2 linked regions of the Xenopus tropicalis genome follow. The protein of the gene in region 2 interacts with the protein of the main gene of each other region in a biochemical or structural test. Links are inferred from orthologs where the notes say so. Each region holds a gene or a part of one and is shown on either strand. Other genes may lie near its edges.

The links.
Region 1: the proteins of pstpip1 (region 2) and ptpn18 form a complex in vitro, tested with the Homo sapiens proteins (2 studies listed by BioGRID and IntAct). The link is inferred for Xenopus tropicalis from reciprocal best matches to the Homo sapiens genes PSTPIP1 and PTPN18.

The regions. Positions count from the first base shown.
Region 1 is NC_030684.2:709,726-714,351, reverse strand, and holds the end of ptpn18 (tyrosine-protein phosphatase non-receptor type 18), read right to left. Parts: intron 4,604-4,626; coding exon 4,518-4,603; intron 2,575-4,517; coding exon 2,133-2,574; 3' UTR 903-2,132; downstream 1-902. UniProt on the Homo sapiens protein: Differentially dephosphorylate autophosphorylated tyrosine kinases which are known to be overexpressed in tumor tissues.
Region 2 is NC_030679.2:90,474,981-90,480,256, reverse strand, and holds part of pstpip1 (proline-serine-threonine phosphatase-interacting protein 1), read right to left. Parts: coding exon 5,218-5,276; intron 5,144-5,217; coding exon 5,045-5,143; intron 2,080-5,044; coding exon 2,034-2,079; intron 1,462-2,033; coding exon 1,382-1,461; intron 1,296-1,381; coding exon 1,197-1,295; intron 856-1,196; coding exon 759-855; intron 1-758. UniProt on the Homo sapiens protein: Involved in regulation of the actin cytoskeleton. May regulate WAS actin-bundling activity. Bridges the interaction between ABL1 and PTPN18 leading to ABL1 dephosphorylation.

The sequences.
Region 1 (4,626 bases), on a different chromosome or scaffold from region 2:
CCTGCTGCCACCTCCTGCCCCGCACTGCCAACCCTCTCTTACCCCGACATCCCTTCATCTTACCCCCCCTAGGCCACGCCCCAACCCTTCATCTTTACCCCCAGGCACTGCCCAACCCCTTCATTCTTACCCCCCCGAGCAACCTTCATCTACCCCAGCTCCCAAACCCCTTCATCTTACCCTGCTGCAACCCCATCACCCCCGGCACTGCCCAACCCTTCATCTTACCCCCCCTGGCACTGCCCAAAACCCCTTCATCTTACCCCCTGGCACTGCCCAAACCCTCATCTTACCCCCTGGCACTCCCAAACCCCTTCATCTTCCCCCATCCACCTTACCCCCCCGCAGCACTACTACCCCTGACGCCAACCCTCATCTACCCCTGCATCCACCCTCCCATTTACCCCCTGGCACTGCCCAAACCCCTTTCATCTTACCCCCCGGCACTGCCCAACCCCTTCATCTTTACCCCCGGCACTGCCCAACCCCTTCATCTTACCCCCCTGGCACTGCCCAACCCCTTCATCTTACCCCCCGGCACTGCCCAAACCCCTTCATCTTACCCCCCGGCACTGCCCAAACCCCTTCATCTTACCCCCGGCACTGCCCAACCCCTTCATCTTACCCCCTGGCACTGCCCAACCCCTTCATTCTTACCCCCTGGCACTGCCCAACCCCTTCATCTTACCCCTGGCACTGCCCAACCCCTTCATCTTACCCCCTGGCACTGCCCAACCCCTTCATCTTACCCCCTGGCACTGCCCAACCCCTTCATCTTACCCCCTGGCACTGCCCAACCCCTTCATCTTACCCCCCCTGGCACTGCTAATCCTTCCTTCCCTCCCACATTTGCTCCTCCCCCCTCCCGCCCCCCCCACACCCAGCTGACAAACACACAGACAGACAGTGGGACACAGAGCAGTTTATTGACATGACGGGAACATGAACAGCACGAGACACTGAGACAGGACAGACGTGGGGTAAGGGGGGCACAGTGCCAGGATGGTGGGCGGGTAGTGCCAGGATGGTGGGTGGGTGGGTAGTGCCAGGATGGTGGGTGGGTAGTGCCAGGATGGTGGGTGGGTAGTGCCAGGATGGTGGGCGGGTAGTGCCAGGATGGTGGGCGGGTAGTGCCAGGATGGTGGGTGGGCGGGTAGTGCCAGGATGGTGGGTGGGGAAGGGAACATGGCAGCAGGGCGGGCAGGGGAGAGCAGGGTAAATAAGGGAGATGCCAGTGGGCAGTGCCAGGACAGGAAACACACAACACTAACAGGACACACAATGCACACAGGTGGCACTGCTGCTTCTGCCCCTTCCCTACTGCCCCTCTGCCCCACAACTGTGTCCCTAACTCTACCCCCCCCGCTAGGAGTAAGTGGGCCGAGGGGCCGTTGGCACCATCCAATAGGTTGCACTGCCCAGGCTGCTAGCTTCTTGGGTTGAGCCCTGGCACTAGACTTGGCATCAGGGGAAGCAGAAGTCCCTTGATGCCAGGGGGAGAACCCCACGGGGGTAGGTTACCAGCCTATGGCTAATTTAGTGCCCCCCTGATCCGCTGCTCCCACCTCTCACTCAACCTCCCCCCAGAACCCTCAGTCTAGATTCCCTGGCATAAAGCAGCACAAGGTGCCAACCCGGCAGGACCCTCAGTCTAGATTCCCTGGCATAAAGCAGCACAAGGTGCCAACCCGGCAGAACCCTCAGTCTAGATTCCCTGGCATAAAGCAGCACAAGGTGCCAACCCGGCAGAACCCTCAGTCTAGATTCCCTGGCATAAAGCAGCACAAGGTGCCAACCCGGCAGGACCCTCAGTCTAGATTCCCTGGCATAAAGCAGCACAAGGTGCCAACCCGGCAGAACCCTCAGTCTAGATTCCCTGGCATAAAGCAGCACAAGGTGCCAACCCGGCAGAACCCTCAGTCTAGATTCCCTGGCATAAAGCAGCACAAGGTGCCAACCCGGCAGGACCCTCAGTCTAGATTCCCTGGCATAAAGCAGCACAAGGTGCCAACCCGGCAGGACCCTCAGACTAGATTCCCTGGCATAAAGCAGCACAAGGTGCCAACCCGGCAGGACCCTCAGTCTAGATTCCCTGGCATAAAGCAGCACAAGGTGCCAACCCGGCAGGACCCTCAGTCTAGATTCCCTGGCATAAAGCAGCACAAGGTGCCCACCAAACCCGGGAAGACCCTTAGGGCTTTCGTCCTGCTTCTGACGCTCCTGTTACCTGTCCTGCTGGGCATGGGCACCTGGGCATACGTGACGGAGGCAGTTTCCGCGGGGCCAGGGGCACCGGCCAGGGTGTAGTTGGAGGAGATTGCGTTGGCAGAGCTTGCCCGGTTGCCTTTGTGCGTGACAGTGCTGTACAGCTGGTCCAGAGGTGCCGGGGTGGGCACGTGAGTGGGCACGTGAGTGGGCACATTATCATACTGCACTGTCTGTGGGCGTGTCTCTGGCGCCACTGGCCTCTTCTTCTGTACAACAGCGTAAGTTTCATTGGCACTCATGGCGGGCATCTGCCCCGGCCTCTGCTCTGGGGCACACAGGGGTGGGTACTCGGCACCGATAGGCAGTCTGCCCAGAGACAGAGAGAGACAGAGAGAGAGATGAGTCATGAGTCTCACAGAGATCAGCACTCTCGCACTTGAGAGCAGGAAGGGGAAGAGACACTGACACTCAGAGCGCTCTCTCTGCACTGACACCTTCCTGAGAGCGCTCTCTCTGCACTGACACCTTCCTGAGAGCGCTCTCTCTGCACTGACTCCTTCCTGAGAGTGCTCTCTCTGCACTGACACCTTCCTGAGAGCGCTCTCTCTGCACTGACACCTTCCTGAGAGCTCTCTCTCTGCACTGACTCCTTCCTGAGAGTGCTCTCTCTGCACTGACACCTTCCTGAGAGCGCTCTCTCTGCACTGACACCTTCCTGAGAGCTCTCTCTCTGCACTGACACCTTCCTGAGAGCGCTCTCTCTGCACTGACACCTTCCTGAGAGCGCTCTCTCTGCACTGACTCCTTCCTGAGAGCGCTCTCTCTGCACTGACACCTTCCTGAGAGCGCTCTCTCTGCACTGACTCCTTCCTGAGAGCGCTCTCTCTGCACTGACACCTTCCTGAGAGCGCTCTCTCTGCACTGACACCTTCCTGAGAGCGCTCTCTCTGCACTGACTCCTTCCTGAGAGCGCTCTCTCTGCACTGACACCTTCCTGAGAGCGCTCTCTCTGCACTGACTACTTCCTGAGAGCGCTCTCTCTGCACTGACTCCTTCCTGAGAGCGCTCTCTCTGCACTGACACCTTCCTGAGAGCTCTCTCTCTGCACTGACTCCTTCCTGAGAGCGCTCTCTCTGCACTGACACCTTCCTGAGAGCGCTCTCTCTGCACTGACACCTTCCTGAGAGCTCTCTCTCTGCACTGACACCTTCCTGAGAGCGCTCTCTCTGCACTGACACCTTCCTGAGAGCGCTCTCTCTGCACTGACACCTTCCTGAGAGCGCTCTCTCTGCACTGACACCTTCCTGAGAGCTCTCTCTCTGCACTGACACCTTCCTGAGAGCTCTCTCTCTGCACTGACACCTTCCTGAGAGCGCTCTCTCTGCACTGACACCTTCCTGAGAGCGCTCTCTGCACTGACACCTTCCTGAGAGCGCTCTCTCTGCACTGACTCCTTCCTGAGAGTGCTCTCTCTGCACTGACACCTTCCTGAGAGCGCTCTCTCTGCACTGACACCTTCCTGAGAGCTCTCTCTCTGCACTGACTCCTTCCTGAGAGCGCTCTCTCTGCACTGACACCTTCCTGAGAGCGCTCTCTCTGCACTGACACCTTCCTGAGAGCGCTCTCTCTGCACTGACTCCTTCCTGAGAGCGCTCTCTCTGCACTGACACCTTCCTGAGAGCGCTCTCTCTGCACTGACTACTTCCTGAGAGCGCTCTCTCTGCACTGACTCCTTCCTGAGAGCGCTCTCTCTGCACTGACACCTTCCTGAGAGCTCTCTCTCTGCACTGACTCCTTCCTGAGAGCGCTCTCTCTGCACTGACACCTTCCTGAGAGCGCTCTCTCTGCACTGACACCTTCCTGAGAGCTCTCTCTCTGCACTGACACCTTCCTGAGAGCGCTCTCTCTGCACTGACTCCTTCCTGAGAGCGCTCTCTCTGCACTGACACCTTCCTGAGAGCGCTCTCTCTGCACTGACACCTTCCTGAGAGCTCTCTCTCTGCACTGACACCTTCCTGAGAGCGCTCTCTCTGCACTGACTCCTTCCTGAGAGCGCTCTCTCTGCACTGACACCTTCCTGAGAGCTCTCTCTCTGCACTGACTCCTTCCTGAGAGCGCTCTCTCTGCACTGACTCCTTCCTGAGAGCGCTCTCTCTGCACTGACTCCTTCCTGAGAGCTCTCTCTCTGCACTGACACCTTCCTGAGAGCGCTCTCTCTGCACTGACACCTTCCTGAGAGCGCTCTCTCTGCACTGACTCCTTCCTGAGAGCGCTCTCTCCACTCTAGCAGATAGCTTTCTCGCACTCACCGTGCCGGGGGCTTCTTCCTCTGGGGGGGCAGTTGCCGGAGGGCGCTCAGTACTGATGTGGCATCGTCGTACAGAGGAGATTTATCCTGTAGGGACAGACAGTGGCTCA
Region 2 (5,276 bases):
TATTACCTGATCTGCTTGCTTCCCAGTGCCAGCTTCCTCCTCAGTCCCTACTTCCTGTTCCTGCTAACCTGCAAGAAAGTGTTGTTCTAGGGCTGGACTTATTCTGGTAAGTTCCTGGGTGTGCTATTATTGTTTTATAATTGTTAGTGCTCATCCTGTGTCTGTAAAGCAGTGATCTCCAACCAGTAGCTTGTGAGGAACATGTTGCTCACCAGTCCCTTGGGTTTTGCTCCCAGTGGCCTCAAAGAAGGTGCTTATTTTTGAATTCCTGGCTTTTGGGCAAGTTTTGGTTGCATAAAAAACTGGTGTACTGCCAAACATAGCCTCTTGTAGGCTGCCAGTCCATATAGGGGCTACCAAATAGCCAATCAGAGCCCCTATTTGTAACCCCATGAGTCTTCATGCTTATGTTGCTATCCAACTCTTTTTACATTTGAATGTTGCTCACAGGTAAAAAAGGTTGGGGATCCCTGCTGTAAAGCACTTAAATAAACAGAGAGTGTGAGACTGGCCCACCAGGATACCAGGGAACTCCAAGTGGGCACAGGTGTCAGTGGGCCCTCCTGCTCAACGTGGCACATTTCTGCTGCCATAAATGATTTAAAGGCATTTCCCAGTATGTGGTGGTGTGTTTCTTCCCTTTAAAAGATGTATCATGTCTAAGGTGTCTGCAAAAGCCTATGGGTGTCACAGTTCTTGGGATTTAAGTTAAGAGTTACTCAAAAACAATGCTATCACAAGCAATTTCCAGCATGTACCTGGTGGAACTTTTCCTGTAGTTTTACTCTGTATGAAAAAATCAATTTCGGTAGTCACGTCGCATTGCTCAAGGGTCTGTCTGACCTCCTCCATCATCTAGAAATACAGGGCATCATTTAGCACAGCAGTTTTAGGGCCTCAGGCAGAAGTGATGTTGGTAGAGCCTGTGATGCCCCAGGGTGTAACTGTCAGTAGTAAGTGCAGATCAGTACAAGAAACATCTTTTGTAATAATGAAAATGAAAACAAAAAACACACCAAAAAATGTTGGATAAAGCTGCAACATTTTAGTCCCTAAAACAAGAGATTTGTTGGAATTGTGAGGACACAATCAGCTTGCATTGGCTGCTAATTGAAGTGTTTTAGATGGGTGGGAAGGACAACGTCAGCGCCTGGACATGGAGAATCTGTGATTATTTATGATAACTGTCAGGTTACCTCGTCATCACGCACACACTGGCTTGAGAAGTGGTTGCACTGAACCCAGAGGGAATTGCGCAGAATGCTGATTCTATCTGTCTCTTGCAGTTGAAATGCCTGCAGAATAGAACAGGCGGTAGGTAAAGAACAAACTTTTTTACCCAGCACTCACAGCTCAGAGGGCATCAGCACTATAAGGATACCTCGCATGTGTTACTGTGCTCTGTCTCCCACTCAATGCGAGCTTTTTCCAGAAGTTCTATATTGTTCTTATATAGCCGATCTAGAACAAACCCAAGGAGTTATATTGTTGTGGAGTTATATCATATAATGGGACATAAGCACTAAGTATTTCCATATTTACTGTAAGACTGAAGTGTTTAATACTATGTTCCTGATATTTATTAATAACAAGATTGACTTGATTGATGGTGGAATATAAGAAGATGTGACCAGTGATCTTTAAACAAAAATGTAAATGATACAATATAATATTCTTTATTAGACAGTTGTACATAATGTAACTTCCTTCATTCTCGGGGTTTATTTGAAAACAATGCCATCACATGCAATTTCCAGCATGTTCCAGCAATGTAGGTCAATGGGGGACAATTTCATGCACTTTAGAGCCATGTTTTTTAACTGCTTTAAAATGCAGTGCTAAAAGTATTCCAAAAATACTCATGTGTCCCCACCAACATACTACCAAGCTACTGCTTCTTTCATACTAAGCTCCAATAAGGCTTTTATAAGTATGAGACATTTTTTCCTATAATATAGTAGTCTCTGCAATGCTTTTACCCTTCATAATCGATTTACCAAAATTGTATGTGTGTTTAGGGTGGGTGACTGTACCTGCTTCTTCTGCTGCATCCTTACAGTGCTTTGCTTTGTTCTGGCTCTGAAAATAAAGAATACTATAATAAGAGATTAAGTGCACTGAAACAAAGCACAAACATGTCATCAAGTCCTATTACAAAATGCTTCATACTGACAAATTAAACAGCTACAATAGGCACATGGAAGCTACTAACAACGTACTGAAAGCCAGAAAAAGTAGCAATTTACCTATTAAAAGTATGCTATCAGTTACCTGCTGTTAGTGTTTTTTGTGCAAAGCCTGCATTATTTATGGAGCTGGTATACAGTGCATTAAATGATTTGCATAGTTCAGTGAGGTTTACAATGAAATATAGAGATTCATCCACAGATTTATGTTGTTTTATGAAAATAAAACAAGATATATATTTGTGTTTTATTGTAATAGCAGGAGGTTGGTTTATTCATCACATTACTTTTTGTTTTACAGAGTGAATTGACTTTAATATTGTTTGCAGAAACACATAAACCCTGGAAGGAAATCTAAATGAACATGTAGGAATTTGCCAATAACACCCTGAATACACAACAGTGACATCAAGTGGTGAAATTGCAAAATGATCTTTGTTAAATATTTAGTTGTTGATGTAATGGATGTAATTTTGATTTTCATAATGTAATTTTGGCATCATTTTCACAAGAAATTAAGGGCATTTAAATATAACATTTCTGTTTGCAACGTTTCCTTGATAAATATCGGAAGCACTATGATATAAATACATTTAGCATATTTCTTTCTTTGCATTTATGGGGGTACTGGTTCTTTTGCCATTATATTGACATAATTGACTATTGGATAAGCAATTACTTTAAGATTGATAGGTATGGGATCTTTTATCCAGAAATCCAGTATCTAGAAAGCTCTGAATTATGGGAAGGACATTTCCTATAGAGCTTATTTTCAGCAAACAATTCTCTTTGCAGTAAGCTACTTTTTCCCTGTAATATTAAAAAAGTCACTTGTACTTGATCCTAGCTAAGCTGCATGATTCATATTGGTGGCCAGTGATGTAAATAAAAAGGAAGCAGACCCCGCAGGAGGGGGGGGGGGCAGCTTCCTCTATATCTACTTTACTCCGGGGAAAATGTGTGCACCCCCTGCCTATGCTGACACATGCCCACACACAAGTGGGCACAGAGGGGGGAGTGGGTGGCTTCCAGTGCACGAGGGCCCTTGGTGTTTGCGGCAACATAATCCTATTGGCTTCATTTAATGTTTACATGTTTTACTAGCCTTATGGTACAGAGATCCAATTAATAGAAATTTCTGGATAATTGAACCTATACCATATAGAAATAAATAGATGCACATACTGTATATATGCTGAGCAGAAAATCTGTATGAAGAATGACACTGAAATACAATTTACCACTGTTTACACAAACCATTGTTTTATAAAACAAAATGGGGATTATGTAATAAAAGACACTAAGTTTGCCAGGAGCAGTAACCCATAGCAGCCAATCAGCAGGTAGCATTTACTGGTCACCTGTCTACAAGCAAACATCTTATTGGTTGCTATGAGTTACTGCACTTGGGCAAACTTTTATTAAATATGGGGGAAAGCCTACAAGAAGCCTTAAAGTACCTGCACAGCTTCAAGTCAAATATTACCCAAAAAGCCACGTAAATATAGTAAACATGAAGAAATCAGCACAGTTAGTAAAATTGTGCAAGTTATTTCTTAAATTAAATTTAAATACCACAGTTTCTGTTTCACTGCCAAATCTATTGAAGTGGAACATTTTGACAAATTCCAGAGTAACCCTGGCTTTTTGTAAACAGCAAGCTCAGTTAAAAAGGAAATTTGAAGTTATTTCACAGTTATTTCATTTTTGTTATATACACATCTTTGAAAATATGCCCTTATGTGCCACCTTCTAAAGGCAGGATTGTATTTTCCCAATACCAACTCTTTTAAAATCTACAAAACCTTCCATTTTACTTTCACCTATTTGAGTATTTTGATATTTCTGTGTATAGTGTAAATGGGCCCTAAATAATTGTTTATCCATGAGTATACGTGTATGCTGTACACTTGTCAGACAAGGGGAATTTACTGTACATTTCTGCAGGCACAGTCAGAGAGTGCTTGTAATCCAATCCATGTTTCTTTGTCCTCAGAATAAGTGCAACAGTGTAACTGTATATGTAGCCTTACCACACCCAAAGTAAAGGTTTTCTGCTGGGATGAGGGAAATTATAAAATGTTTTTATAATGATATAAAAGCAATTTCACAAATCTAGAATAGAGGCTCTGAGGGTGAATGGTTCTGTGCACTATTTATAGTAATCCCACAGTATGACTACTGAAATCATTTGTTAATAGGGCCCACCACCCACATACACACACAAGCAAAGTAGACAAAGAGATGCTTATAAGAGGCTATTATTGCCAGCTTGTTGGATTTTACAAGGTAGTGGGTGAGGGCTAGATGGAACCATTTTATTTTTAAGTTCAGAAACACTTTTTTAACTACACTTGTGATAGAATAATCAGTTTCCTAAGGCTCTTTCTAAAAAGTAAATATGCCCCGTCTCCATATCTGTAGGCTGCTGTTTACACAAACAAGATACAGGCTTGCAGCCTTGGCACTGTTTTACATACATATAGGGCTCCCATCAGGGGTGTACAGGGAGCATTGCTGGCATTTGAGATATTAAAGTGTGATTAATGTGCCACTAAAGGTCAGGGCTTGAAGATGAGCAGGGCTTGGGCAGCCTATGAGTGTGTTTCAGCATAAATGGGTGTGGCCAGGCAATTGGTGAATGTGGTTATGCATGCACAGGGGATTTTTATTGGGGCCCAATTATACTTGTTAGCTGAGTACACCATCCAGGGGGCCCTGGACGCCAATGGTCTGATAATTGGGGCCACCTGGGGGGGTGAGCTCTGCTAACTAAGTAGTATGGGGTCACATGATTATTGATGGCAGCCATGCTTACATGTAAAGGGCCTGATGTTAAACATTCCTTGCTTTGTTACCTTTTCTATTTGCTTTGGGTTTCCTAAAGCTACCAGCCGTTCATAGTTCTGCTCAGCGTCCTCTGCTTCTCGGCACCTCTGCTCATAGCTCTTTTTTGACTTAACAGAAAAAAAGAAATACAATGAATTGTCATATTACAGAATCAGATATACTAAGTTAAGAAAACACTTACATCCATTGTTTTCTTGTACAAGGACACTTTATTCTTTTGCAGGCGTTCCATTGCATTCT